Drosophila melanogaster: one gene and its partners. The protein of the gene in region 3 interacts with the protein of the main gene of each other region in a pairwise test. Each region holds a gene or a part of one and is shown on either strand. Other genes may lie near its edges. The genes, in order: CG12253, spartin and Gas8.

Region 1 (9,642 bases), on a different chromosome or scaffold from region 3:
ACTTTTATTTTTCAAACTTAAGCTATTTGATATTTTTTTTATATTTTATAAATTGGGCAACTCAAAAAGTGGTAACAAGAGAATATTTAAAATGTTTTTCTCTGCATATTTGTGTTGAACGATAAATTTCTAACTATACGCTTTTCGCTACATGGAGAGAAAAAACATGTTTTGCATAACCAATCAATATTAACAAAAGGTATAAGCATTGTTATACATTATTTTTGTGAGTTAACTATTGGTCAAATGAGTTCGAAAAAAAAAGGTAAGAAGTCCGTGGAATTATAAACCTTATAATATAATGATTATATGGAAATTTTCTTTCAAAAACACACTACATTCGCTATGGATATAAATCATCAGGCGCAGTTTACTTTGCGATGGTCCGGGTTGGAAAATTTGCGTAAATATGTTTATTAAAATGTTATTTTTTTTTATTTTTTTTGTTTTTTTTGTGAAAGATTTGAGGTCGGCGCGTTGGAAAAGCTAGTTATGGACAGCCGATTGAGGTATATTACCATTTAAAGACCCACCTGACGCTGGAAGAAAGTCTTGTTCTGGACTCAGGTGTAAGGAATATGCAGTGTGATCACCTTCAACATACTTCATATACGCAGAGACATAAAAAGAAATTATAGTGATGGTAACGTCGAACAGAAAAACACAAACAAGAAGGCAACGCAATGCAATGAAATACATATGGATTCGGTGAGCAGTTTCTGTTAAAAGTTATTTGCTATAGGAACATTTCAATTACATAGAACATCTGGATTTATAACTATATGCATATGGGGCCTGTCGGCAAAAGAGAACATCACTATTTGACCATCCCTCTACTTGTAATTTTATTTAAGCTTCGTTATTTACCTATGCATTACTGGTAAAGAAAACAAAAGATTTTTACGTTATGGTAGTTAACCGGTAGAGATGACAAATACACTTTGTTGTCCTGGATATATTTTAAATAAAGACAGTACAAATATTATAACAAGCTTACTGGTTTTCATCTATCTACTAATATTCGAGATTTTATTTTACGATGACTCTGCGTGGTCAACAGATAAGACTTACTATGGCAAAGAGCGCGGCACCGCCAAAAGAACGATTGTATAAATCTCCAACAGCCCTCAAAATTTAACAAAAGTAGTCGAGAATTTATGAATATTTTAACTGATTTTTAGAACAGTATTTTTGTGTACAAAATAATTAAAACGTGGGCAAATACTTAGTGTATGTATAGAATGCAGTGCAATATGCACTTGCTTTCACAAATTAGGTTTATTATAAATAAAATAGGATAATAACTTAAGATACTTGTAGTATTTAAAAAAAAAAATATCCTGACCTACATATTTGTTTTGTATAGTTTACGATTCATTTAAATGGGTCTTGTGAAAAGCTTCTGCACTATTGATGAATAAAGATCTCACCTTTTTGGCTGGAGGAGTTGGGACTTGAAGATGATATTTGTTTTGACAATAATCGCGCAACAACGCTATCCCTTCTGTGCGATTGTTAGCGTAGCGGGATTCCCAGGCATCCAAAAGGCGATTGTAATACCGCGGAGTGTCGTTGTATTTAAGGTACTTATGGGTTTGATCAGTTGGAAAGATGCGCTCCAGCGGTGCACATCGCGCTAGTTCATCCTCGGCTATGATAAGGCACCTCACATCATCGGGGGTCAGATTATTTAGGATCGCATCCACATACTGTGTTGTATTAAATGTTATAGTATGATTAGCAACCTATCCATTTGGAGTATCAAATTTGCGCCTCACCTCATTCCGGTCTTCCATAGACTTTCGGGTAAATGTGTTATGTTTGATCTTTTCCTCGCGCGACAAGTAGTTAATGTAAAGCCGCTTGTCATAGCACATTTGTGTGCCGGGAGGAAAGGAAAATTCTGCGGCCAGTTCTTTTTGCTTATCAAGCGATAGTTTTGGAGGTACCTTAAAATATGTATCATCATATATATAGTTATACGTTCTAAATTCATATGTAAAATGCCAGCACTTACGTTGTACAGCGCTGTATTAAGAACGCCCTGCACTAAAGGCGCTTTAACATGAGCATCTAGGGGCAGTTCCGAGTGTAAACTGGGCGAAATATTAACTTCCAACAGCCAAGGCACAAGATCAGAGTCCAGAATAACATCGAAGCCGAATAGCTCGAAGCAGCTGTACTTTGATTCAACATTTGCTCTAATCATGCTATTAATGCCATTCTCGCCAGCAAGAATTGTCCGAAGCACCAAACTCCTCAGAGCCTCCCACAGACAGTCGGTACGCACTCCACGATTCGCCAAATACGTCCACAGCGACTTGATAGTCCACTTATGTCCGTGGCAGGCATTGACGTCTTCGTTCTTCGAATAGTTCGAGGAAAACTTATTGATGCTGTAGTTGGTCAAATGCATACACCGATCATTCAAAGTGTCCGTTTTAGCGCTGTACTTTACTGAATATACATAGTATAGTTTCCTTTGGGTTAATATACGGCTCACTCGATTTTAGATAAATATTTACTTACCTGAAGCGAACCGTGCCAATCCGTTGTGGTACATGAACACTCGCAAGGGATTCACTGATGTAACCAAGACATACAGACGCAGATCAAATTTACTACCATTTATTAGAAGCGGTCGCTCTATATACCTATGTAAAACAAATCGGGAATAATTATTATGTTTCCGAAGCTTTTGATCCTTAGATGCTACATACTTTTGTACGATAAGGGGCCTTCTCTTGGGTATCTGGCCCCATCGGTTGATAACCCTGATGCCAGCACCCCGAGCACTAGCTGGTGGCTTTATAATCCACTTAGTATTTCGCTGGGCATATTTCGGCCAGTGCCGGCGCAGCGCTCCCAGATCATTGGGAATAATGTATGTGCGTGGCATGAACCCGAATTCCTTGTTGCTGTGCTTACCCATCTGCCTTTGCAGATTCTTCCAGCACGAATCCTTTCGGCCGATGCGAAATGAACCGGGCAAGTGATTAATTTTCTGATACGAACGAATGGCCTTAAAACACGGTGACTTTAAATGCTTTCCCCATACGCCCATCCAGTCGTTGGTTTCTACTTGCGAAAATACATATTAATTGATATCTGATTATTATGTAGAAACTCACTCTTTAGCATTCGCATTCCGCTGTTGGCCAGAATCAGACGAACTACCTTTGGCATTATGTTTGTAATGCGCCACTTCAAAACGCGATGAAGATCCGGCGGCACGCGTGGACCTCTTTTTGTGTTCGACGAAAAAGACAAATAAGGGGGCACGTAGGGAAACAAACTGGGAACCAGAAGGGAATCCGGATTTTTCAGATCATCCTCAGACGACTGCGAAGACAAGAAGCTGGGCGTGCTTTGGGGCGATGAAAATCGATCCACAGAGTGGGTAAGCTTGAAGGCATGGGCACGATAACCGTCCTCAGTGTCTGACAAAACACTCGCCGTGTCGCTTTCGTCGAAATTTGATACTATTATTTGGTTAAACAATGAAGTACAAATTAGTTAATTATCAATTAATTAAAAAAAATAGATCTAAGGTTAACAATTCTTACAATTGTCGAGATCATCATCTTCGTCGAAGTCGTCATTACGATCGAAGTCAATGGCACTACGGTGATCTTCCTGTTTGTGTTCCGGCTCCAGCAATAAGACCGTCTGTCTTTCATCACCTGCACCCAGTACCTTGGAGCTCTGCTGCTTTACACTTAGCCGCTGGGTGCTGAACTGCTGCTTGCGGCCGAGCCGTGGACTCTGAGTGCTGTACAGCAGGACTCGGTGAACCGTGGGCATTGGCTTTTTGGTAGACACGGTCCCACCTTTGGCCCTCTTTGGCGTCATGGGCAACCGTGGCATGGGCTGATCCGTCGACTTACGCATAATCTTTAATTCATTATTGTTGTTATTAATAAGCGTGTCTCCGGAGCCATCCAGGACCGTATTTTCGGTCATTCTGCAGTAGCGCCGATGTACTCCGACCTGCTCCAGCCCATTGTCAATTACAACAACGGGGTCATAGCTATCTTTAATGTCCCTGTAGTCATCTTCGCTTCCAGGGTCTCCTCCCCAGCCATTGTCTAGGTAATCGGCTTTTAAATCATTGCTTGGGAGCTTTTCCTTTAGCACGTGCTTCTCATACTTTTGACCCTGCCAGGTCCTGTCCTCGGAATTGTCCCTTCGTCCAATGATAACTGTGCCATCGACTTCTCGCGAATCCCTGCGACTGGCGCCGGCCTTTTGAAATTTACTCATTGGCACTTTGCGGCTATTGGCAGCGGCAAACGTTGGCTTGGACAGTTTCTCCGCTCCACGGTTGTAGAAGTACGAAAAATAGTGCTGATAGTGCTGGTTTGTCGTCTGATACTGGACCGGGCGTTCCGAGCTGAAAAACGAGAATGGAAGGCGGTTATTTACAACATGGGGAACAAAGGAAACTGTTTATTGTTTACACATCTATGTATGTTCAATGAGTGTCTGTGGATATATTGTTAATGTACTCGCAACTAGAGTGTTGTGTGGTATCTATCTGTAGTTTTCCAAATTGTAACTTTAAGACTCGAACACAACAACAACAAAATACGTGTGTGTGTGCGTGTACTGGAGGTATGTAGTTTCAACAAGCAGGACAATTAACAAAAAGGCATTTGCATAAATTACAGTATGTTATCCCAGGTCGGCTCTGGTGAGGGGGAATTGAGTGGCCGATATCGGTCCGGACTATTGTCCACATAATCGTTGGACACACGTCCCCCTCGGTCTTTCCGTTTCTTTAGCTCCGCATCAAAGTATACGATGGATGGCTGCAACAACATCTGCTGCTGTTGCTCCTTGTCTACGGCATATGACCTTGCCTGCTTGTACTGCCTATTGGAATGCTGATCCTCCGATCGCTGTACCGTCTGATAGACGTACTCGCAGCTCTTGTTGCCAGCTATCCGCTGGTTGACCAACGATTGCTGGCCAAATGCATCGGTAAACAGTGATGAGTCCGGCGCCGAATTGGCCGCCGATTGGTGGTAGCTTGATCTGGCCGATTGCTTGGTGGGAATTCTCTTTGTCGGCAGATTATGGTTCTGGTTGGGCACTGAATTTTGATTCTGGTTCTGGCGATTGCCCCACGCTGGAGCGATCAGGTTGCAGTTATCGTAGCTATAGTAGCAAAACGTATTGTCCGCATTGCAGTAACGTGACGCCGGGGCTCCATTGTTGTTCAGACTGTTGCTAGCTGGGATATGATAGCCGCTGTTGTTACGCATGTCAGATCCTGGTCACCCAGTCATATATCTGTTGAGGGGTACGTACTAAGCTCGATGTGATCTCTGACTCCGCTAACCCAAAAAAAGGCCTACAAACAGGTTTTAAATGCTGTGAATGATTTCTGATCGGATTTGGACGTAAGTTTACGGATGCGGATTAATCATATCTGGTGGATAGATAGAGAGAAGCCAGAATGCATAGTATGCCACTCTGGCGGTGAATATACAATATAGATTAACCCCGCCATCACCCTGGGCTACCAAGCGTAGCTGCCACTCCGTAAACCAGGTCATATGTACAAAAACTTACTTGCCTCGCGATTTGTGACCTTTACTTTGTTGCTGCAGCTGGAAGGATTAACGGGCACGGAGCAGGATTGCGGTGGCGGTGGTGGTGTCGTTACTCTACCCAAGCGCAGGACTCCCAAAATCTAGGTCACTGGCACTTGTCGTCAGCTAGCTCGGTGTGATTACATTGCCAGCACGAAAAATGCGCCAGGTGTAAATGTATGTAAAATGGAGGCAAAAACTGAAATGCAAATCGAACACACATCCTTTATAATCATAATGATTGCGGAGGCACAATATACCTACAATATAACTAATAGCAAATGCACAATTTTGTCTAATAAATATATTGGATTATTTGGTAGCTTCCAGTTAAGCGTGAAATTCTTAAACGTTCACTAAAACTTTTCACAGCCTATGACAACAAAAAACTAAACTACTGTTTTATTGAAGAACAGAATATCCATGTGCACAGTTTGGAGATGGCAGCGTGAGCACCTCAAACTGCCACCTCGCGATAGATACCGATTGCGCACGCACCAGCTGTTCGGCCGATAGGGGACTTCCCGAAGAAACCGTTTTAATCGCTCACTTTACCCGTTTAGCCTGGTTTTGAATCGGAAAAACACGTAAGGAAAATCGACATCATAGGTTTGTTTTTAATAATTTTAATACTGAAAGTTACAAATTGTATTCGTAATGGGTTCTGTTTGCAAGAACTCTTATTTATTAGCAAGCAAAATGGGTTTTAATGAATTGTCTTCGATTGTTGTCATCTCCGGATTTTGGTGACCTTCCTATGGAATTGAAGAAAGTGGAATTAAAGGGTGAAATGTTCTGTTCCGTATCTAAAAAGATAAATGAAAACCAATAAACAATGAGCACTTTAGGATCTATAGCATTAGTTAGCTTACCAATGCTTGGATCGACCCACTCCATGGCCATGTTGTGGAGTATGGCCAACGCCGTAATCGTTTGCTTTGCAGATCCATGGGAACCCTGGATTTCGGTGGCAAGGATACCGAAGCGACTCATCAGCAGATTGAGACACTTTCTAGCCGATGCGTAGGTGACCGCGTGGGCGTGGTTATACAGCTCCTCGGATTGGTTCCTCGGGAATCGAACCGGTGTGAACAGGGAGGAGGAGCAGCGCACCATTTCGTTGCCCAGCAAAATACGACCCCGGAACTCGTTCTGTTCGAATCGATCCTTTATTTTGGACAGACCGAACATCTCGGTGTCGGTGAGCATGGACTGCTCATCGATCAGTCGGATATCAAGGTCCCTTATCTTATGAGCCGCATCGCAAACAATCTGAATGTGAAGTTCCTCCTCCCGGCTGGTAAGGGCGGGCAAAAGCTCCTCTCCATCCAGATCAGGGGCACAGTTTTCCGGTTGAAACCTCACAGTTGTCTGTAGTAAAGCACCAATGACTTGCGGCATATTGGCAATTGCTTGAAACGCCGAACCAGATCGCTCCTTTTCCGATAGAGTAGCCGGCATTCGGATATACCTGGAAGCTTTCGATGATAGGACAGATGCCACGCGCCTAGTTATTTTTGCCAAAGTGCGTAAACTAACGCCATGGGCCATTGCAGTTAATTTGGGGTGCTTAAATAAGAAAAAAATTTAGTAACAAATCTTAGTTTTCATTTTTGGCGGGCAATTTTGAAAGCCAGTTCACACGGTTTTGATGTACATACAAATTCGCGAGTCTGGCATACAGAAATGTTTACTGTACCTCTGTGCCGCCCCACAAGCGAATAGCGGATAGAATCTGCAAATCTATTGGAACTTGCTCCCTCTTTAACGGCTCAAAATATTCAATTTCCAAGTCATCCCGTACAATTTCAATAATTCTGCGAAGGTTTTCCTTAGTGTATCGGTACTTTAGTCGAAATTTATGCTCATTTAGATCGGTCAATGGATTAAATCTTGGGTTCCTTTTCTTTATATGCGTTGCCCGCGCTCGAGAATTGTGTTTGATATTCAGAAAACATTGAAAGTCTTTGAAATAATCAAAGTCTTTTAGAGACCTTTGAAATCTTTGTATATCTTCCATTTTCACTTGTTTACTTGCATAGCAGGGTGGCTGTTTTGTATATATTAGAAAATACCTCATACGTACATGCGGTATTTAAGGCTCTTGCAACGATTGAAATTTTATGATGAAACTTTACACTTTAAAAATAATCTTTTTAAATGTTGTTAATTAAAAAAATGTAAGTAAGTAAATTAATACTTTTATTTTTTTTAAGCACGTTATGTACTTTTGGAGTTAAATAATTTTTTTTTATGTATTTCTATACTTTTAAAAAAACAGAACAGAAAGAAATCAAAGCTCGAAGTACCAAAAAATAAATACTAGGGAAATAGAACCTATTGCGAAGATTTGCAAAAGCGATTGTTTTCAGTTGTGAAGACTAATATCTACACATTCCAAAAGCTTAACGATCTTTGAAATCTGGCCATTTGGTCACACTGAGTCCAAAGCGTCGTTTTCAAAGTACTCTTTCAGTTTCCATTGTGAAGTTTTAAGTGATCGCGAGTGCCAAAAAGTAACAATGGCTGATGATCAGGGACGTGGACGCAGGCGTCCACTTAACGAAGATGATTCCTCTACTTCCCGAGGTAGTGGTGATGGGCCGGTATGTAAACTCTTATTCAAGCTAGGAAAAAAAATCATAGCGGTAAAGCAAATTCCTTATAATTCCGTTATGTCGCAAACACAAACACAGCCATGTACATAGATTGTAAATGCGCGCATTTCTTCGGAATTCGACACCAAAAGGAAGCACTAAAACTAACAAACAAAAATCTGCTATGAATTTGAGCTTGACTGCATAAAATCTTCTTGAATTTCTGTTGACCAAGCACTTTTTTCAAAGGGAATTCATTAAACATATTTCCAAAAACGCTTCTTTCAATTTGAATTTCCAAGGAAATGTAAAGCATTATCTGTTTCGTTTCATTTATTTTTTTTTAATAAAAACTGCTAAAATAACCATCACCTGACAGGAAGGTGGCTGTGGCAAGCCGAATCTTATTTACCCTTGCAGTCTATGTCTTTGGAATCTGCATGCCCGACGTTGATATGGACGGACATGACCAAATGGACCCGGCTAGTGATACTCATCAAAAATCATGGTCGGAAACGCTTCCTTCTATCTGTCACATACATTTGATTCCTAGAAACTCTACGAGTAACGGGTATTTCTCCGATATTCATCCCAATTCTATACAACTTTGAGATGGCTTTCAGCATTGATATACTCTGAAATTGCAGGCAAAGCATACTACAAAAACTATTTTTTACCATTTTTTTTCTGCTTCATCTTTGATTATGAGTAACAATATTTTCGTAGCTTGACCGTTAGTTTTATGATTTAAAATCTGTCGTACTTTAGGTAGTTGTTTAAATGGCTCACATTTAGGAATCACAACTATTTGTTTAAACCCCTTAATATTTTTTCTTTTAATAATAAATAATAAACAGGTAATACTTTTTGATTGTTCATCGCGATTGTTTTCAATGTACAAAGTTGAGTCTTTCTGGTGTTTATTGCTGTCTCGTGTTTATTGCTGAATCTCGCACGATCTCTCTCTTTCTTCTATGTTATTTTTTCCATCGGCGTCAATTATTCATAACTGCCGCTAGGTGGAGCTAGTGTGCAGTCATTCACTTCTATTAGGAGACAGCGTCCTCTATATCTAATATTATAATTTTTTTTAAATGAGTAACTTACATCATTTAATGCTTTCATGCAGCGGGTGAAAGTATTCAGAGGATCTTCATCAGGTGACCCGAGAGCGGATCCTCGTATAGAGGCTTCAAGAGAGAGAAGAGCTCTCGAGGAAGCTCCCAGGCGTGAAGGTGGCCCGACAGAGCGAAAGCCGTGGGGTGACCAATATGATTACCTGAATACCCGTCCGGCTGAGCTGGTATCCAAGAAGGGAACCGATGGCGTCCCGGTCATGCTGCAGACGAACTTTTTCCGATTAAAAACCAAGCCGGAATGGCGGATCGTTCATTATCACGTGGAGTTTGAGCCGAGCATCGAGAATCCTCGTGTCCGTATGGGAGTTT
Region 2 (10,948 bases), on a different chromosome or scaffold from region 3:
CCCTTTCAAATACCTTTCTCCTGTCCCATCACCTTCATCATCCAATCCACCCGATCCAATCTAGTCCAACGCCCTTGCCGCCGGGTTTGCTCCGAAAGTCGACTTGGTCCGCTCGTAACGCAAATGAAGCATGAAGCCTGAAATATTAGCCAAGTGCGCGGCTGGCGAAAAATGCGTCGCCCTGTCGCACAACTAGGCAACCCTGACAGCTGCATTCCGCAAATGCAATTAAACCAACTTTCCAATGATGGATTTTTTCTTTCGATTATAATTCAGCCGTTTTTCCCCGTCTTTTTGCCATTACCTTATTAGCTAAAAACCTGTAGCCTGTAGCTCGGGCAATGACGATAATGATGATATCAAATAAATGACTAGGCGCCCGAGTGCTGCAAGTTTGAGCGGTGAGAAAATTGGCATGCAAAGTGAAAATGTTTTGGGGAAAAAACCTATCAAAGCCAACACAGAAACGCATGTCGAGGGTGTCGAAATTTTTTTGAGACACATTTGTCGAACATCAAATTCGAAAGCCAGCAGATCGGTGGATGGATCGCAAGAATGTACAACTCAAGCTCACAAGCCTCACTCCAGAACACGAGCCTCCATCTACAAGTTCCGCCTGACCAACATGATCCAGGTCCCAGAATGCTGCTTGAGGTCATATCCCTAGTCCTGGTCATCACAACGTTATTTTGCTGCTACTGTTGCGTCAGATGAATGGATCTAAGCGATCCGCTCAATGAAGAAAAATCTCCGAGAGAAATGTGTTTTACCCAATCCTACTTTTTGATATCCGTTAGGAAAGATAGGAAAGATATTAGTCTTCATTTTTCGAATGGACCTTTTTTTATGTAAACTTCAAGCCAATAGTTACAAATTGCATAAATAAGCACGTTACTAAGACAATTGGCTACCTTTTTACACTTTTCTTTTCTACACTTTTTACGGTTTCAAAATGCAGATTTTGAAATCACTTATTCACTTATTATTTACTTTATTCATTGTGCAGAAGCTGAAAACACTTACCAACAAAATTCGAAGCTCTGTTCGTTGCTGGCACAGATGCTGTTTTTTACACAGTTGTTTTTCGGCGTTCAATTACATATATAAAAACAATTCAAAAGAATGGCGAGTCAATTGGAACAGCCACTGCAGAGTCCTAAAGTTGTTGTTGTTGTTGTTTGGAGCTGCTTTTCGGGAACAGGCCAAAAATCATTAGAAATTTCTATACTCGAGCGAGCAACACGTACACACGCACACATACGCACTCGCACACAGAGGCGCACCCACACACACTAATAAACGCGGGCCAGAAAATAAAACGGGAAACGTGTTTGCTTGTGTACTGTTGTTAGAACTGTTGTTGTTGCTGCGTTCGCAGTTGGCTGTTTACGGCAGTCGTTGTTGTTTATACAGGTTGTACATATGTATTTGTGAGCGAGAAAAACAGTTTTCCGCCGCGCCGTAATTGCAACTACTCAGCTTGGTGGATTGGACTCCCGTCAAAATCGGAAATAAAAGGCACTACCCACCCACATACACACACAAACACACTTCTGCCAACTCTCCTCCCTCAACCGCACAAGCGCCGCAGTTGCACCTCGACTGAATTCACGATTTTACACTGCACAGGTGCAGTGCTGCGCAAAACAAAACGCAAGACTCTCGGATCCGAACTCCGTGGCTTTGGGCTTTTCCTGCCTTATTTCCCGTGCGCACATATGTACACATTCACATGTATTCATGTACCAAGGGGCGAAATCACGTCCGAGCGGGGAATTATGTGCTTGCGTGCCGCGCTAAACTCTTAGCCACCTCCTTTTGGCCGAGTTCAAAACGTACTGCCGAGCGTAGGAATTTGTGGATATAAAAATGGGGCGGAGTGTGGCCAGCTGAATCAGTTGAGGTGGGTCGAATCGGACTACGAGCGGTATTTTTATCTGTCCGCAGGCAAGGTCTCTCTGTACGCTCTTACGTTTTTTGTTACGTTGTTCGGCGAAAAGCCTTCAAAATAATTAACAACTTTCTCGGTTTTTGAATTAGTACGTAAAGTATTGCATACAAAAATCAACGAGACGCTGATGGATCAATCTATGAAGCTTTGGGATCAAATAATATATAATATTATATAATGATATATGGCGGAGTTTAAAACCAAACCAATTTCAAGATAATTTTTTATTGCGCGTCCCGAAAGTATGCTACACCCATTCCTTTTTTTTAAATTTATTTATTTAGAAGCGATGAATCCATACAATGCAGCAATAGCAACATAACAGCGCAATTAACATATAAATGATAAAACCAAACCTCTCACTAATCATGTGAGGATTTAAACACCCATTCCTATTTTCAGAATGGAACTCGCACGAGAGCTAACGTTTGAAAACAAATGTATTCATTTACTTTACTTTTTTTATATATCGACTGGTAATTCTTAAGAATAAATCTCCACCCTGTGATGCTAAGATACAATATAATTATGTACGGATTCTTTTTAATAAATATATATAAAAAAATGTATTCATATGATTTTGACAATAATATGAGTATACATATTCCTATATTCTCCTAATATAAATATTAATAGGATAAAAGGACTATAATAAGGTAAATGTAAATATAGTCTAGGAGAAAGTTTTACCAACAATAGGGGTTATAGTCATTCATGTTATGTTATGTTCTGATTCGGGAGCTGAACCCTAACTAAATATATGGGCTCCTTGATATATGACACTTAGGACCTATAGAATATCACATTCTATATCTCGTGTATAAAACAAAACGTGAAGTTTTACCATATTTCGCCAAAGTATATATGTGGGGTTCATCGCTCGTTATATAAATTCCTAACTTGTTTATATAAAATTTGACTCGTTCCGCAAAGTTTTTGCTTGATCAGAGTGCTTTTTAAGATAGGAAAAAAGAATAAGGAATAAGATAGCTATATAGAGTCTTAGGAAATGGTTAGGAAATAATGCAAATAACATAACCTTTTCAACAATATAAGATTCAAAAGTCTGTAACTTCAGGCGATCGGAAGCTATGACAGTACTTACGAGGATTTAAAGCCGCTAAATTAGACGGCTTTTTATTGATCGTCAATCTAAAGATACTTAGATCAACATTTGTTCACAATTTACATGGTACGTTCATACTAAATTCCTTGCTAAAATTGTTAATTCTTTTAAATTAGTGAAAGAGGACTGAGTTGTGTATCAAAAATCAGGACATTTTAATTTAAAAACAAAAGATACCCGATACTTAGCGGTTGGAGTGCTAGGAAGCTAGAATTTAGGTTATACAAATATACAAAGTGAATTAAACATTTTTCTTTTTAATACTTTCTAGCTTCGGTTTATCTACAAATACAAAAGTAAAGCATTTTTGAACACTAAAATAAGGTTTTGATGCAAAATCTTTCGAAATATCTTTTTTATGTGTTATTGAACATAATATTTATTTATATTTTTTCTTTTAATTAGAAGCTATAAATGGCATATAAATATTTCAATATAATAATAATAATAATAATAATAATAATAATAATAATAATAATAATAATAATAATAATAATAATAATAACATGTGATAAATTCCTTTGGTTTTCCCGCTATTCCTTCAAAGCTCGAAGATCCGGATAAAGAGATCCGGCATTAATATAATGAGATTCCGATTTGCGTAAGTCTCGCTTGTAGTCACTGACCACAGCTTCTCCTGTTCGTTTGACCATTTTCTTGGCAATGCCCTTCGGGGTTATGTAGTTCACGTTCTGACTGACCACGAAAACGTTGCCCACCGTGTCAAAGGTGCCACTAGCCAGATTCCCCGTCTGCTGGCCATATCTGAAATAGCAAATAAATATATGTAAATATATGAAATATTAAAAATGCCCGCACTATATGTTTTTCTTTTTCGAAGGCGAAAGAAACCCAAAATGAATATCTAGATCTTAGTAGACCTTTAGTAGCATTACATATTTGAGACGATTCACAACAAGTTATAAAACTTTTCTTTGTGTGCAAGCTTGAGTAACATTTCCCGATCCTTGATCATTTTTGCGATCCTCTGCACATTGCGCATAACTTAAATCTCAGATATATTTAAATTGAATAAACCGTTGCCAGCCTAAGTGATTACTTTCAATTCGGACGAAAATTCGTAATGACATCTGTTACAAAACTGCATAAGCATTAAGAAGCCAAAGCCAACCCACTTGTGTTCGATTATCTTGACGGAGTTTTCACTGAGGCTGGAGCCTAGGATCTTGGCGGAAGTCTCGAGGCCATCGAATACGGTGCTCACTCCTTCCACGGCTCCTGCCGCGATGGTCATGGCGCCCTCCATGGTGCTATTAGCCTCGCTGGTGTCGTAGCCAAATCCCTTCTGCAGCAGTTTAGAGCCTTGCTCCTGAATGTGGGGAGCCAGGTAGCGGCCGACTGCCATTGAAGCAGTGCCCACCTTTCCAGCTATCCATCCTGTCATTCCGGCTGCGGCGTGCGTCACTTTTTGGGCCACCTCAACTATAATGAACAAAAGGTTACAACATAAGATACATTAGATCTATCTTATATGTAATCTGCACATTTCCAAACCATTGATTAACATGATTATCAAACACAAGCACAAACTCCGATCGAGGTGGAAGTGTAGTGACGATCACATCTTCGACTTCGAATCTTATCTTCTAATTTTATCGTTACATGCTCATTCGGAAGCTACCATACTTCCGCCCTAAATACAGCTCTTCCCTATTTGGAACTAACTCACCTGAAGTTTGGACGGAGCTGGGCACCTGAGCATCCATCGAGGCTGGCGTCATCTTGGAAATGATATACGGAGTACTCCTAAGCATAAAGCCTCCTGTCTTCTCGGCGCCCCGTACCAGGTTACTAGCAATGAAATCAGCCGCACTTACAATGTGTCTGGACACCTGCTCCGACCCGGAAACGGTATCTGAAGCTAGGCCAGCACGTTGGGAGGTCGGCGATTTCAGCTGCACTACCGTGCCAGCGAGTACGGCCTCCAACAGGTCAAGAAAGAACTGCTGAAGATCCTCCAGTTCGTCCTCCGTGCGCGATGTCTGGCCCTCCTTCGTTAGCATCAAACCAAATGCATTGCCCGGCTGCTGGCACTCCATATCAGGAAAAATAAAGGCTCCGTACTCTGTTTGGTAGCAGTTTGTGATCGAGGGAACCAGGGGGTAAAGCCAAATCCCTGCAGTCCCCTCATTTGGCATGGAGCACTGAATGAAGTAGATGCCACTGAGGTACTTCCATTTGCCACCCACGGTGCACATTACCAATGACATAGTTGACGAGCCGCTTATGGTGGTTACTGATCCACTGGCTTCGATTCGGTACATTTTGACCTGTGCACGGAAGAGCTCATCGAGCAAGACTTTGGCGTCCCGAACAGCCAAGAGCTCCCGCAAGCCGGCAGCGAGCTCTCTGTAGGTTTTTGGTGCTCCGCTAGCATTGGCTATGCCATATTGCGTGGAGGGGTTTTCCGCCAGCAACGGCGGCCTTTTTGTATCCATCTCTGCTCGACTTTCCTCCGTGGCCTCCACGGCTGAATCATCAATGGATTGTTTCTGGGATCGCAGAACTTTGAGGCGGTATCTCAATTCCGTTTCGGCGCTCTTGAGCTTTTGGATCAGCGCACAGGCGTCGTTCCACTCCGCCTGCACGGTGTCGATCTTGTTGGGAAGACCTACTGGAATGCCGAAGGTGTCCTCTATCATACGCAGGGCCAGCTCATAGGCCACAATGGCCTGGCCGGGGGATTCCTGCTCCTCGTGACTTACGGCCAGGTCCACCTGAGTCATGGCCGCTTTGTAGGCTGTTCTGATGCCAGCATAGGCCTCCAGGAATTCGCTTTCCTCCTCCGCCATCGCGGCCTTTAATACCTAAGAAACAGCACAGAAACATTAGATACTATACAAAAAACCAAAGCCCTCAAAACTTTAGTATGTAGAACTAAGAATCTATTAAAGTCAATGACTATGGTTATTTATGGTTTAGTTAGTATACATGTTCTATGTGCTGTCTTTATTCTTATGAATCCCCCTTTCGCAAAGTTCTGTGTAAGTCTTATAGTGCAAATTACTACATATTTTGTTAATATTCGTGAGATTTAAGATATTGTAAACGAACTTGCTGGCAGAGATACATCCCGACGAGGCGGGCAACCGCGACCAACTAAAAGGGTGACCAAAATGCGTCACCAAAGTGGGAATGACGCGCTTTTACATCTTCTCCTGCAGCTGCTCTAAATTGAACTGTGGCCAACGAAACCGCATCCGCCCTTCCGCTGCACTCACCGTCTACCTGTTGCACTCACTCACCTTTGGGTTTTGGTTTCGTCTGATTCTGAGCGTTTAATCTGCACTTTGCCCACCAAGTCACCTAATGATTTAGAAAGCAAACAGAGAAACGCTCTCTTTCGCTATTTTCTCACTAATTTTACGAATTATTTTCTGCTCCTGTTTAGTCGCACACCTTTAAAGTGAGAATATCGTTTGCCTAATATCACTTAAATTCGTAAATAACATGTTAAAATGTGTGTTTTCCATTCGAGTTGAATGTTCCAAGTTTTTCCATCTTTGTTTTGATTTGCTTACTTTCCATTGCGAATCAGATCAGCTGTTTAGGAGGCCTCTGCATGTTCACTGCCACAGACAGAGTTGCCACAACGACTTTTGAAAAGTCTTTTGCGGGAATCGAATTTGAAATTGAATGAATGGTTAATAATAAAAAGCAATACTAAAACATAAGCTCGTGGCAATTAAAATATCGATTTACTTGTTATTTATTTCGTTTTTATCATGTTTAAAATACAATAAATGTTATTCCTTTAAATATATTTGTCGATCCTGGTTTGAATGCACAAAATTATATTTCGTTCGATTCGGACAACGTTTACATCCTGTTTTCCCCGCAGGGAGAGGCGGCCGTTAGGGCCGTATATACACACATATGTATTAAACATATGAAAATTTGAGTAACGAAAATATTCTATTGGAATTTGGGTGTGATTGGGATGGCATTTGGATCGCATCCATACAACATATCAAATTCTAACGAGGCAGACTTTTGTCTTCGGGAGAAGAGTTTTGATTAAAATCACAATATGTATAGAATTATATACCCGGATAACTCTATTGTACACATAAATGTATATCTGTATAAATGGATATCTATGTGTTAAACATATACTTCAAAATTTCGGTAAGATGAAAAATAATGATAACGAGTAGCTGAAGCATCCATCGTTCCTTTCTTGGCTTGGTCGACATGAATGGACTTGGTCTGAAGAGGATTGGGATTGCGATATCTTAGGCGGGAGCCACGTTTGCCAGCTCCCGGTAGGCATCCTGCAGCGCCTGCTGCTGTTCCGGGCTCAAGGTGCTGGCACAAGCAGCCATTACCTCCGGATTCGATTCCACTTGTTTGACGATAGTGAGCATACGAGTGCCGGTGGCGGACTGCGCCTCAACCACCTTGGTGCAGAAGGATTCAGCGATGATGGAGACAATGCGCGGCAGATTGCCGTTGTTTGCCCCAAGAATGACCGGATGGTTGCCTTCAATCAAGTCGCATAGGTAGCCATAGATGTGGGCGGCTTCTTCCGAATCCTCGGACACCGGCAGCCATGAGAACCAAACACCGATCAGCTCGTCCACGTTGCTCAGCGCCGAGTTGTTGTACTTGAGGATCTTAGCAAACGCCGAGATCGCATTCTCTGTCGGACTGATGTTCTCGATTTCGCGGGCTTTGGGATCGTTGATGACCTGCACCAGCAGTGGAATGATCTGGGCGCATGTATGCGCAAACTGCTCACCAGCGAATTGGCCGAGCACCCCGCATCCGTAGGCAGCCGCCTGGCGCACTTCTGGGGCCTTATCGCACACGTACTGGACGAGGGCTGGCGTAAAGATCTGCTGGTATGGAGCACAAGCGGGGCCACAAAATTCTGTAGGTAAATGAGAATACAAGTCTTTAGTTTTATGGTGGCACAAATGATTTGATGTTTGAAGGTATCGGCGGTACTATTGAACTGCAAAACTCAATTAAGAAAACCAACTCACCGATCAGATCATCGAACACGCATAAGCCCCACTGCCGATCAGCTACAGGTCGGCTGGGCTCCAGTAGCTTGACAAAGTGCGGAGCCACCTGTTCAAAGGCGGGTAAGAACTGAGCCTTGTTGGTCTGGAAAAGGGCGTGTGTAATGTCCACGATTTTGGAAAGGATGTAAACATCTGTGTCGTCCTGCTCGGCCAGCTCCTCCTCCACACCGTCGTCGTAGTCTTCCTCATTGCGAGCCGCCAAACGCTTGTCAGCACGCTCGAAATGCTCCAGAACATACTTGTTTATAATCTCGAGAACTTGTTTCATGGCATCCTCGTTAAGGCAATTCGGACCCAATGTCTCAATGCATTTTGCCAGCGAATTCAGCAGCTCCGACTGCACGTCTGGCTCCGGTTCCGTGACGATTACCTTGAGCAGCTCCGGACAAATGAACATCCACATGCCCTCCAGATACTGTGGACCCTTAATTTTTGCGCAGTCGAGAAGGTAAGGCAGCGACTCAGCAGCAGCTGTGCGGACACCGTCGTGGAAGTAGAACTTAAGCATGGGCAGCATTTGACGCACCACGTCCTCAGCGTATTCGGCAAATCCTTCCTTTAGTTCCCTAGCATAACAAACCAGCATCTCACAGGCCGAAGCCTTGTCGTCCATGCCAGCCGTGCGAATGGCGAAGTTCTGCTGCTCGCCAAGATTAATGAAAGACCAGTCCACATCACCGTCGATGTCCTCCACCTCGTCGTTGTCCAGCATCGCCACCTCAGGCTTCATGGTGGCCGTTCGCATCACTGGTCCCATAACGAGGGGCAGATATTGCTCAAATTGCTTGCCAAGGATTTTGCACATACGTGCCCAGGCAGTGATGAGATAGGAGGTCTGCGGATCATCATCAGCTAGTTCCCCCCCCTCGGTGTGATTGACCAGCAGCATATCCATGACTTCTCCGGCATCACCAATAAACTTCTCCCGCCCCACCGCCAATCCTATCAAGCTCACGCATTCAATGGTCTTGCCGCGAAGCATGCGGAGATCATCCGAGTTGGCGTTCTGGATGATGAACTTAAGGCATGGCATTAGGCGATCGTAGTAGGCCACAAATTCCGATTCGCAGGTGTCTGCAACCGATGCAATTGTCGTCACTACCTGCTCCAGTACCAGCTTGTTTCCCTTCTCCACCAGCTCCTTGAACTTCGAGTTCAGAATAGTCTCCAGCTTGGCCATGATCCCGTCCAGGTAGCGTGTCAATATATTTTTCGGGCAGTCCTCGCTGAAGTTCACCAGAGCGGCACCTGCGTGTGCTTGCACTCGCGGATTTTCCACGTCATCCAAAAGAGACAAGAGGCCGGGAATCACCTGGCGAAACAAGGGAAAATTGTTAAGCATTTAATTAATTTCAATTGCTTATTAGAAAGTTGATAAAGCAGTTGCAATTTAAGACTCACCTGGCTGTGGAACTTCTTCTCGAAGGTCTGTGCAAAGTCGGTGGACATTTGGCCAATGGCGTTGCAAGCGGCGTATCGAACGCGAGGATGAGGATCGCTCAGGAAGTTCAGGACTCCGGACATTACCTCATCTAGGATGGCTTCCATCTGCTTGTGACAACCCTCACCGATGGCCGAGATGGCCATGAGGGCTGCGAAGCGATGTTTCCAATCGGCATGACCCAACATAACCGGCAGAGCGTTCATTACGAGCGGAAGCACAATCTTTCCTCCCAATCCACAGGCGAGGCGATCCAGCGAGGACTCGGCGATCACGTTGTTGTCGCTGTGATCGTCATCATCGACCACGTCGGCGGTGGACCAGTTCTCGTCATCATCCAAATCCGTCATCATATGGAGAATCAGCGGGATCAGGGCCACGATATACTTGTCCGCTCGCTTGCGTATCATCGACGGGGCGTTCTCGGCGAGCGACACCATAACTTCCAACACTAGGTGACGCCAGCTGTCCTCAAAGTCCTGCGAGCTGAAAACCTTCATGCAGACCTCAAAAATGAACTCCAGCTGGGGACGCAGGAACTTCGGGCAATTCTCGGTCATCTCAATCAGGAGCTTTAGCAGACTCTGATCATCCTGGGCCTCGATGGTCTCGCCAGTGATGTGGATCATGCGGGGCAGCATATCAGCGAAGTGCTTGTGGATGGCCGTCTCGTTCTCCTTGTCGTGGTAGAGGATGAAGGCTCCGACGGCTCGCACGGCCTGTACTCGGACCTCCGGATCGGATCCAGCGTCCATGCTCTTGGCAAGCATCTGCTTGATCAGATCAATGTACTGAGCTTCCTGGTTTCCAAATATGGAAGGCACACTAGAGAAGATCCGCAGTGCCGATTCCTGCAGCTGCGGCGTAGGCGAGTTAGCGCATTGAAAGAGAAACTGCAAGATGTCGGGCCACTGGTTGTTGCAGTCCTCGTCGATCAGATTCCTGGCCACCTCGGCAACTACCTCGCAAATCTTGCGACGCAGCTGCGGCGTCACCTCCTGCTGCACGGCCAAAAGGATCTGCTGAAGCAATTGGTTCTGGGATTCAGCTGGAAGCTGCAAATGAGGTAATATTAGAAAGATGCTCAGAGGGCGATTCTCTGCGCGGCTTTATGCCTACCCCTTTGTAGAAATCAAAGAACTCGGTGGTAAACAGGCGGCGCAGCAACACGGCGGCCATCTGTCGAGCCTCCTCCGACTGCTGGCCATTTTGGATGTTGCCCAGGAGATGCGTCACCTTCAGCTCTCTTGAAAGATTGTTGTATGCTTCCTGGAATTAAAAATGGTTTTTGTACATATCCATTCGATGTAATTTTAAAATATATAAATATTATTTATATATGTAAATACAATTCCACCTTGACAACATTGGGCTCTGAA
Region 3 (10,284 bases):
TAAAACAAATGGCAATCAAGTTGAATTGTTACACACACATAAAGGGGCGTTGAAAGGCGGGGGCATGGATGATACGTTGCGAAAAGTAAAAGGAAAATATATACAGCGAAAATATGAGCAACATAAGTGCGGAGTCTGTCAGCCGCTGGCTGAAATTTACTCAACATTTTTGATTTAATAATGAAATGAGTGTCGGCTTGAATATTCCTTTAAGTGTATATGTATTATGCTGAGGGTGTGAGTATGTGTTTGGTGCGCAGCCTGTGAGTGTGAGTGTATGCACTCTTGTATCCCGGTAAATGGCTTCGCTTTTTTTTTTTAATTAATTCATTGATCTCTTCTCACAAGGTTGGTTCTCAGTTTGGTATAAAAATATTTATTTGCCGATAACATTTTCCACTGATCCAGTTGGTTTACTTGCCTATTCAATACGTTTCTTTGTTTGTTGCATCACGTTTTTAGACACACCCCCCCCCCTTTTCTACGTGTTTTGGCTAAAGCCAATAGCCCAGCTTGAACCAAATTTTTGGCTTGCAGCCGTATCTTTTCATCAGTTTGTGATGACTGCCGGGCGGCCGAGCAAGAAATAAAATTAAACAAATACGAGATAACAAGCCACTCCAGCAGCAGAAATTCAATTACAGCTGCTTCAGGTTGCTGGTTGCAACTAGCAAGTTGCATGTTGCTCGTATGTGTGAGCAGCACTCGAAGAACGCAGGACGATGGACTGAGTTCTCAGCAGTACTTCTCAGCGCTCGGTACTCGGGCCTTTAGGACACTTGACACTGGGCCCCTCTGGCCACATGCTCGAATTGATTTAATTGAAATTTTATTCGAGTCCTGCTCGGAGACCCATTGTGCAACAGTTGTCCTGCTGCAGTATCCTTTGTGCATTTGTTGCATTTTAATTAAGAGCTGCTTTGTACTGTCGCTGGAACAATAAAACCAAATCTAGCCACAACGTCTAAGCAACCCCCTGCGCGTATATATATATATATATAGAAATTTAGGTGGTCATACCGTTATGCTCCGAATAATAGTAATGCCCTAAATATATTGGTTCAGTTTTTCTGAAAACGCTATCAGTTCTGTAGAGTATTGAAAATACTTTCTACAGTTTATTTGTAAAGTAAATCGTTTTTTTTTTTTTTTTTGATCAATCATTTTTCAAAATAAATAATAAAAAAAACACCCCGCGCAAAAGAAGAATTTAATTAAAAATGTTTCTTTTAAAAATGCACTAGAAACCCTTTGATTTTGATCACAGCAGCAGATGACCAGTTCTTTTGGTTTATGTATAAAGCAAATGCTAAATTCGTTTTGGAACTTTGTTAATTAGGGCTTACATTTAATGCAAATCATAGTTATTAAAATGGACTCTACAAGAATCGGAGCCATTAAAGGTTGTTCATATGCTAAGCGGGATATATCTCCCTTTATGGTACTGTACTTATATCAAAAAAAAAAATCGAATTACACAATAACATTATGTGCCATTATAAGCAGAACTAAATGCTGAACGAAAATAAATAAGATAAACTAGAGGAAATGTTATAGAATCCTGGAATCTTTCGACTTTTCACATTATGTATATAGTTTTGTTGTGGCTAAAATCCATTTAAATGTGTAACAAATAATTTTTCATTTCGTTGCTCTTAAATAACTATTAGATTTTAAGCCTAAAATTGTATATAAGACATGATAAAGAAAAGTTAAAGCTAAAAAAAAAAAACTGTATATAGTCAACGAGGATAAACTGTAATGTGTATTTAGGATGGATTTAAGAATCAATCAATGACGTTCACACAAAACAAAAAAAAAACTGAAGCTTAATCAAAGTTCTCTTGATAATCTCACTGAAAAATTTGAGAGCCGCTCTATATAAACCAGCAGTAAACGCATAAAGTAAAGTATATCTTATATATAATTAATAAACAAGCATATATATACAAGACAAATTATATATATTATATGGTAAACGAACAAATTCTACAAATAAAGGACAAAAATATATTTATTAAAATTAATCAGAAAGTTTAAATTTCCAGAGTTTGGGTCGCATGTCAAAGTTTGATCCTAGGAGTTGTAAAAGCTGAATTTTGCATACGACGAGGGGCGTTTGAGGGGTTCTCCAGCTAACAACAGACAAGACAAGACCTCCGACCAGCTGCACCAACAACTTTTCCTCATCCTATCTTTATCTATATTTAGTTGTACAAATCCGAATCTCTCACTCAGAGGCAGGATATCCGTTTCTGCGCCGAGCGGAAGTTGTTGTGAAAATAACACAGCAAATAACTTTTGCCACCGCAATGAGCACTGCACTCCCCCCCCCCTCATCCCTTTCTCCATTAACTTTCCACCTACTCTTGGCCCCTCCGAAAAATCCCACGATTTTCAACACACCCAAGTTGCATCAACTGAGTTGGCATTTATTGGACTTCTGCTACGAGAACGAAAACAATATGTAATAAAACATTTAATTTAATGTATAAATTTTTACCCAGAGTAAAGCTCTGACAAAATAAAAGAACTAAAACTTAACAGATTGCATTTTCTTTAAAAGGAAATTACGGAACTCAATTAGAATCAAAAGAAAACGCAAGACGTAAAAACATTAATTTGAAAACAATATATGTTATGCATTGGCTTTGCGGTTTTATTATTTTATATTTGTCGTGTGTGGAAACCAGCAGGTTTGTTCGAAAATAAGGAATAATAATAATTTAATCATTTTCGTAATTGAATTGGTAGAAAATCTCAGTAGGTGTCTGCTGGTTGGTTGTATCGAATTGAATTTTTCACGATGGCTGCCCATATGCTATTCAATCAACAGGGAAGAAGCTCTAAGGAGCGTATCATTACTTCGCAGCAGAACTGAGATCTTGAGGCTTTCCTACGATATACACGAGATTCCTTTATGTTTGATTGGATCGTGCATAGACGATACTCATCTTATTAATTGTTTACCTTTTCTCGCTTCTTAAAGAATTCTCCTTAAAGCGCGCACACACCTCGGTCCTGATAAGCAAATTTTCTAATCATATTTTAAATACTTTCACTTTCAATCAGTGCTTTTTCAGCGGCTACCCATTTTTGCCACCCCTTTAACCCTTGGCAGCCGTTACGGAATTCAATGGGCCATGACCGACCGCAGCCGTTGGCAAGAATAAAATGAAACAAAAATTATGCAGGGCAGATGGAAAAGTGTCTAAAAAGGGTTGAAGGTACACAGGAGGAAAATTGGGTAACTTAACGGCTTAGATTGCAAAAAAAAAAAAACAAAACTTGTTTCCCATTTTATATGTTGGATCATATGTATTTTGTTCCGTGTCGCTTCGCCACTTCAAGTCTTGGCTATAAACATTTTTATAACGTGGAAATAATAGTTTTTCTGTCTGTAAGCCAGCCACAGCGTCTTTGCTATCAAAAATTGACTTTTAATGAAAACAATTGAAAATTCTCGGTGTCTATGTGCCGGGTCCGAAAATGTTTTCCCATGCGAAAGCCACGGGATACTTGTCTCAACTGCCGACGTACTGCTCAACTGGCCAAAACTGGCTGCGGTTATTAATTTCAATTAAAGCATTTAACCGAAGAGCCCACCGACTTTTGTTTACCCAACCTGCCCCGCCCCTAGACAGCATTAATTAAGGCGGGAAAGTGGCGGAGTTTCTGGGGGAAATTCCAGGCCATAGGTGCTGTGCTATTCAACGGACTAATAAAGTTGATTCGACCGAGATTTTCAGGACCATCAAGCAATTCTCAAGCAAAAGGAGAAGCCGAAGATCTGTCAGCTTCCTGATAATATCGTATTTCACGAAATCATCAAATTAGCCAGTAGTCAAGAGCAGAGACTGCAGTGCCAACAGCATTTAAAGTCCGTCCAACAAACGGCAAATAAACAAACAGATGCAGGGAAAATTCTGGGGCCAATGTGCAGGGTGGAAAATTAAGAAAACCGGGGCAGAGAAAATTCAAGAGACCATTTATAGGAAGCAGACAGCAGACGGCGACAAGAGAAAGAGTCTGGTCTGGTCTGGGCTGGCTTTTTGGTTTTCACTGGCTTGGGCAGCAAACTAATGTCGGGCACACGCGTATACCAAAGTAGATGTGGTTTATTTTGTTGAATGTATACCTGCATTTTGTATTTAGAAATATATATAATATGATATTCGAATAATATCACTACGCTTTAGTTAGATGTTTTTCAGCACATGAAAATCTTCCCGCCCCTAGTAACCCAGTTGATAACTGCAAAAGTTTCCCCAAATTTTGAATTTTGCCAGTTCAAAACCATTTGTCCCTGCCGTAGAAATATAATTGAGAGAAGACTGAACCGAAAAAACAACGCTTCAACCTTTAACCTCTTCTTTCGGTTGCCCGGAGACACACACACACACACACACGAATACACGAGACACCCACAACACACACATTGGCAACTGCTTTATCGATAAGTTTGTTTGGTTGTTGGACCGTAGAACGCCAATAGCTCAGTTGGCAGGAAAGACCAAGCCGAAGTGGTTCTTATTCTTAGCAGAGGAATCGAAGCAGAGGAAGAAGCACCGGCAGCAGTATGGTGAGCAATAAGTTGTTAAATCACATTAACAAAGCAGTGCACCCATTCGGCCGCCTTATGGCCGCACTGCTTGGCCAGCAGCAGTTTCCGCCTCTATCCGATTTCCGGTTCCATGCCGCTGCTCCTTTTGGTCTCAGCTTTTCAGATTTTTTTTTTCAGTTGCACTGCAAGCGGCGCATTCAATTTTTCATGCCAAGCCAGGCTGTTGCTGTTGCTGCATATACAAACTGCACTTTGCGAGTGGGCTACAGTGAAGCCTCGGCAAGGCGCTGTCCTGCTACTGCTAGTCAAAATGTCAACGTTGGTATGGCGCATTCATTTCAAAGCAACTTTAGTAGTCGTTCTGTCTATATAAGAACATATGTAGGGAGAACCTAAGTTAGTATAACTATTCCCTTTACAGTGGCTCCACTGTGTATTTATAGCAGTCAAGCAGGAGTCCTCCTCTCCAACTCCTGCTGGTTGTCTATTTTCGATCATTTGTTTATGTATAGACCTGCCCCCAACATATATCCGCCTTTTTTCCATCGGCTACATATATATGTTTATATTTATATTTATATTTATATATATATATATATAAATATATACATTGCGCCTTTGGACATGCGAAAGCGCGGTTGGCGACGGGCGCAGGCGGCTTCGAAAATTTTTGAATAATTTGCAGTCATAAAATATGCAATAAGCCAGCAGCCAACAGCCAACAGCTGTTGCGAAATTGTTTTGAAAGCCGCGCCATCACATTATTTAAAGCAACGATGGCAGTTGCCCGCTTTCTCCGCCTTTCGCTGCCTTTCTCCCACGTGAAGGGAATCGAATTAAACGTTGTTAAAGGATTTAAAGTGCGAAAAATAGTGGCGAACTGCAGACGACAATTGCACAGTCAGTACCCCATTTCCATTCTCCTGCGAGTAGAACTCTTTCAATTTGCATAGACAAATGTGGAAATTCTTTGCTGCAAGTTCAGCCGAGACTTCAAGTTGAGTTTCCTGCTCGGCTCGGATTCTTTAAATGAATTAAATAAGATTTTCTCTTGTAACGTGCGTTCTCTTTTGAGATTAAAACTAAATCAAAATAATAATTTCATTTGAACTTATTTTCTTACAGCCGCCTAAAGGGAAAAAGGGCAAAAAAGGCAAAAAATTGCCAGGTAAGTAAAAAGCTCGAGTAAACTGCACTTTAGCATAGATTTATGAATTCCCAAATTTAACTACTTTGAACGGTAATTGAAGTGAAGGATATCAGTTAATTGTTGCAAAATTCATTTAGTGCCCTCTTTAAGAACACCGGCTGTTAAAGACCCTCAACGAGTAGACAAACTGAACAAGGACGAGGACTGCCTGGCAATTCATTTTCGGAACATTAATGGCAGCAGGGTGCCACCACTGGGTAGTTGGGTAGTTGGATATCTGGGCAGCCGGAATGGCGGACATTGGTCATTCAGGGCAATTTATAAAGGCCAAGCAAAACAATTAGTAAATAACGATAATCTGCGTGAGGAGAGAAGCAAAAGAGAAGGCAGGACGCGGGCGCAACGATAGGGACGATAGGAGCGTTGAGGACAAGAAATTCCCGATGCAATTGCTCTGACTGCAGCCTTGCAGTCAGAAAATTTAAAGGCAAAAAATGGGGAGGGGGGGTTCCAAACTGACCACTTAATTTGCACGAGTGAGCACACTGTAGGTTCCACAAATACCCAACCATCCTCCGCTCTCTGGGATCTCTCTAACGCACATAATTGTTTCTGTGCGTGCACTGAAAAACGCTCTTACTCGTGGAACGCAAGGAAACTCCTAGTGTATCGTATTATTATAGTTATATCATCGATTTGTTTATGCCACACACTTATCTTAACACATGTCTCTAAATAGTTTACACGCGCTCCTTCACTTTGACTTCAAATTGTCTTTGCAATGCAATGTCTTTGGTCTTTTTTCCACCGTGTGGCATCTAGTTCGTCTCCTGGTAGTCCTGTTGGTCCTGTTGGTCCTAGTAGCCCTTCCTAGGCCGAGTCCTGGCACCAGCCGGCCAACGATGCCAATTACAGAAAACAATTACAACACGGTCTGCTGTTGGGTCACATATGCGGGCAGCGGCTAAGGGAAGGGGGGGGGGGGGCGTGGCAGGGGTAAAAATGGACGAAAAAGGGGCAAAAGGGGGGGGGAGGAGAGGGTAACCAGGCGTGCCGCTCTCATTAAATAGCCATAAGGACGGGAGCCCCCAATATGCGGACTAAACTTTTCACGGACCCCTAGCCCAATATTAGAAAATAACCAAGACAAAAAAATTCCTGTTCACACATGAACACGAATATATTTAAAGACTTACAATTTTGGGCTCCGTTCATATCTTATGTAAATGAATCGAGAGCGATAAATTATATTTAGGATTTTGTTATCTAAGGCGACATGGGTGCATTGCTCAAAAACATGTAATTTAAGTGCACACTACATGAGTCAGTCACTTGAGATCGTTCCCCGCCTCCTAAAATAGTCCCTTAGTGGGAGACCACAGATAAGGTCCTCGCCGCTCAAGATAGGCAGATGTGCCCGAGCGTGGGACCTCGATAAGGCGGGGACTATTTACGTAGGCCTCTGCGTAGGCCATTTACTTTAAGATGCGATTCTCATGTCACCTATTTAAACCGAAGATATTTCCAAATAAAATCAGTTTCTTACAAAAACTCAACGAGTAAAGTCTTCTTATTTGGGATTTTACATTTGGTCAATCGAGCCTTTAATCGACTCTGCAGTTTCCCCCTACCAAAGGTAAGGAACTCAGAGAAAGGCCAGCTCCTTTAAGCATCTTACAGCTAAAGGTAGCAAAAATAAGTGACTCTTGTTTCCCCCTACCAAAGGTAAGGAACAGAGTATAAATATAAAAAGCAAAAGATACAAAAGAATCTTTTATGTTTTAAAACAAGCACCTTATAGTCTATAGCTAAAGGTTGCTTTGTGTACCATTATAAATTGTGGTAAGGCGTGCTTGAGGCCATACATCAGCAATTGTGAAATTAAAAAGTGCATAACAAAAGTGCCTTATAAATGCTCTAATAGCATTAAATCAGCTCATAAATAGAGTGCAGTGTATATGCCATAAGAGCATAAATTAAATAAAAAGTGCCTGAAAACAGTGCCTTATAAATGCTCTAATAGCATTAAATCAGCTCATAAATAGAGTGCAGTGTATATGCCAAAAGAGCATAAATGCCGAAATAAATGGCTAAAAAACAAAAAATCTGACTGGACTACAAAAATAATAAAACGTGCCAAAAAAAAAAAAAAAAAAAAAAAAAATCATCTTTAAACATCGACGGAGCCTTAAAGAAGAGAAGGAAGTCAAATTCAAAGGAGCCTCTACCAGCAGCAGAAGCAGCAACAACAGCAGCAGCAGAAGCAGCAACAGCAGTAGCAACAGCAGCAACAACAGCAGCAACAGCAGCAGCAACAACAACGACATCAGCTAAGTCAAAACAAGAATTTTCTGTTTATCCAAACACACATATATATATAAATACATATAAAATACATATACACGTACTATATATATTAAGAAATTACAAAAAATTTTCAAAATGATGTCAGAAAAGACTATTCAATTCCTTAAGAAGCAGTCCGAAATTATTTTGGAAATTAGAAAGTTGGAAGTAAAACCAACATTAACAGATGTAGAAATTCTAAAATTAAATGAGCTTCAAAAATGTTTCATTGCTAATCATAGCAATTTGTTAAAGATCGGCGTTGTCGATCATGAATATTTTAACGCGAAGCAGTATGATTTAATAATGATGGTGTTAGAAAAAATTAAAAATAAAAATGAAAAAATTAAGGGCGAGTCGGTAGAAAACACTTTCCCTAAATCAAACACTGTCCCTAAATCAAACCCTCCCCCTACATTAAACCTTGAAATGCGTGGTCACCCTGAAAAAGAGGGTATAGCACAAAACAACGCTTTAAAAGTAGAGCAGGCATTTCGTAATAATGTTGGCCAATTTCGAGTATATCTAGAAGATACGTCTAAACTAATAGACAGTAGTCCAGATTTCCTTAAAATAAGGAAAAATAAAATTGAATTTTTATGGCATAAAATAGATAACCTGATTGAACAGGTGAATAGTCATTTTGAGAGTTCGCTATTCGAAGAAGAAATTAGCGAACTTGAATTTGACAAACAAAATATTCTTACAGCCATTAATAGTCGACTCAGTGGCACAATAAATAAAGCTGAAATGTCGACGGTTGTTAAGGCGAAGGAGTTACCAACCCTGCCTAAAATACAGATTCCCACCTTCTTTGGTGATTCCAAAGAATGGGATCTTTTTAATGAACTCTTTACAGAGCTCATACATGTGAGAGAGGATCTCAGTCCTTCTCTCAAATTTAATTATCTAAAGTCAGCATTAAAAGGAGAAGCCAGAAATGTGGTTACTCATTTACTGCTCGGCTCTGGAGAAAATTATGAAGCCACTTGGGAGTTTTTGACCAAGCGATATGAGAATAAAAGAAACATATTCTCAGATCATATGAATAGGCTTATGGATATGCCAAATTTAAATTTAGAATCCAATAAGCAAATAAAGACATTTATTGACACGATTAACGAGTCAATTTATATTATAAAATTAAAGGCACAATTACCAGAAGATGTGGATGCAATTTTCGCTCACATAATTCTTCGGAAATTCAATAAAGAATCACTCAATTTATATGAAAGCCATGTTAAAAAGACAAAAGAAATACAGGCACTTTCTGATGTCATGGACTTTTTAGAGCAAAGGCTCAATTCTATATCATCATTCTCACAGGAAGTAAAACCTGTAAAGAAAATGATTAATAATAACAAGAATAAAAATTATAGTGACAATTGTGCATATTGCAAACTACCAGGGCATTATTTAATTCAATGCCATAAATTTAAAATAATGAATCCAGCAGAACGGTCTGACTGGGTAAGAAAAAATGGGATTTGCCTAAGATGTCTGAGGCATCCGTTTGGTAAAAAATGTATAAGCGAGCAGCTTTGTTCGACTTGTCGTAAACCTCACCACACGTTACTTCACTTTGCAGGTCATAATCCAGAAAAAGTGAATACGTGTAGAACAACAGGTCAAGCCTTGTTGGCCACGGCCTTGATTCAAGTAAAGTCGAGGTATGGAGGCTTTGAACAATTAAGAGCATTGATTGATAGTGGCTCTCAAAGCACAATTATTTCAGAAGAGTCTGCACAGATTCTAAAATTGAAAAAATTTCGGTCTCATACTGAAATAAGTGGAGTATCTTCCACAGGAACGTGCATCTCCAAGCACAAAGCGGTTATTTCGATAAGAAATTCTCCGAAAAATTTAGAAATTGAAGCAATTATTCTCCCAAAACTTATGAAGGCACTTCCAGTCAACACGATTAATGTTGATCAGAAAAAATGGAAGAACTTTAAATTAGCCGACCCCGATTTTAATAAACCGGGTCGCATTGATTTAATCATTGGAGCAGACGTATATACTCACATTCTGCAAAATGGAGTTATAAAAATAGACGGTCTCCTTGGGCAAAAAACTGATTTCGGGTGGATAGTTTCTGGATGTAAAAAATCCAAAGGAAAAGAAACCATTGTAGCCACAACAATAGAAATAAAAGAGTTAGATCGCTACTGGGAAGTGGAAGAAGAAGAAAAAGATGATATCGAGTCTGAAATCTGTGAAAATA

Evidence for each region.
Region 1: the proteins of Gas8 (region 3) and CG12253 interact in a two-hybrid assay, tested with the Drosophila melanogaster proteins (one large-scale study listed by BioGRID).
Region 2: the proteins of Gas8 (region 3) and spartin interact in a two-hybrid assay, tested with the Drosophila melanogaster proteins (one large-scale study listed by BioGRID).

Annotation. Positions count from the first base shown.
Region 1 is NT_033779.5:10,985,810-10,995,451, reverse strand, and holds CG12253 (uncharacterized protein), read right to left. Parts: upstream 7,647-9,642; 5' UTR 7,618-7,646; coding exon 7,297-7,617; intron 7,167-7,296; coding exon 6,470-7,166; intron 6,404-6,469; coding exon 6,285-6,403; 3' UTR 6,211-6,284; downstream 1-6,210. Other genes in the region: TTLL4A (tubulin tyrosine ligase-like 4A), read right to left, coding at 1,431-1,709, 1,779-1,949, 2,018-2,457, 2,530-2,654, 2,721-3,078, 3,132-3,482, 3,567-4,393, 4,669-5,267; piwi (P-element induced wimpy testis), read left to right, coding at 8,120-8,203, 9,324-9,642.
Region 2 is NT_033777.3:4,650,475-4,661,422, reverse strand, and holds spartin (spartin), read right to left. Parts: upstream 6,624-10,948; 5' UTR 6,344-6,623; intron 6,265-6,343; exon of another isoform or gene 6,153-6,264; intron 5,906-6,152; 5' UTR 5,891-5,905; coding exon 4,768-5,890; intron 4,521-4,767; coding exon 4,214-4,520; intron 3,843-4,213; coding exon 3,611-3,842; 3' UTR 3,438-3,610; downstream 1-3,437. Other genes in the region: Karybeta3 (karyopherin beta 3), read right to left, coding at 7,334-7,971, 8,087-9,440, 9,530-10,624, 10,689-10,838. UniProt on the Drosophila melanogaster protein: During postembryonic development, functions with endocytic adapter Eps-15 in neurons to restrain synaptic growth, by inhibiting BMP signaling, and to control synaptic endocytosis. Required presynaptically for neuromuscular junction (NMJ) neurotransmission.
Region 3 is NC_004354.4:3,498,837-3,509,120, reverse strand, and holds the start of Gas8 (growth arrest specific protein 8), read left to right. Parts: upstream 1-4,269; 5' UTR 4,270-4,579; coding exon 4,580-4,582; intron 4,583-5,689; coding exon 5,690-5,732; intron 5,733-10,284. UniProt on the Drosophila melanogaster protein: Cytoskeletal linker which probably functions in axonemal and non-axonemal dynein regulation. May play a role in the spermatozoa motility.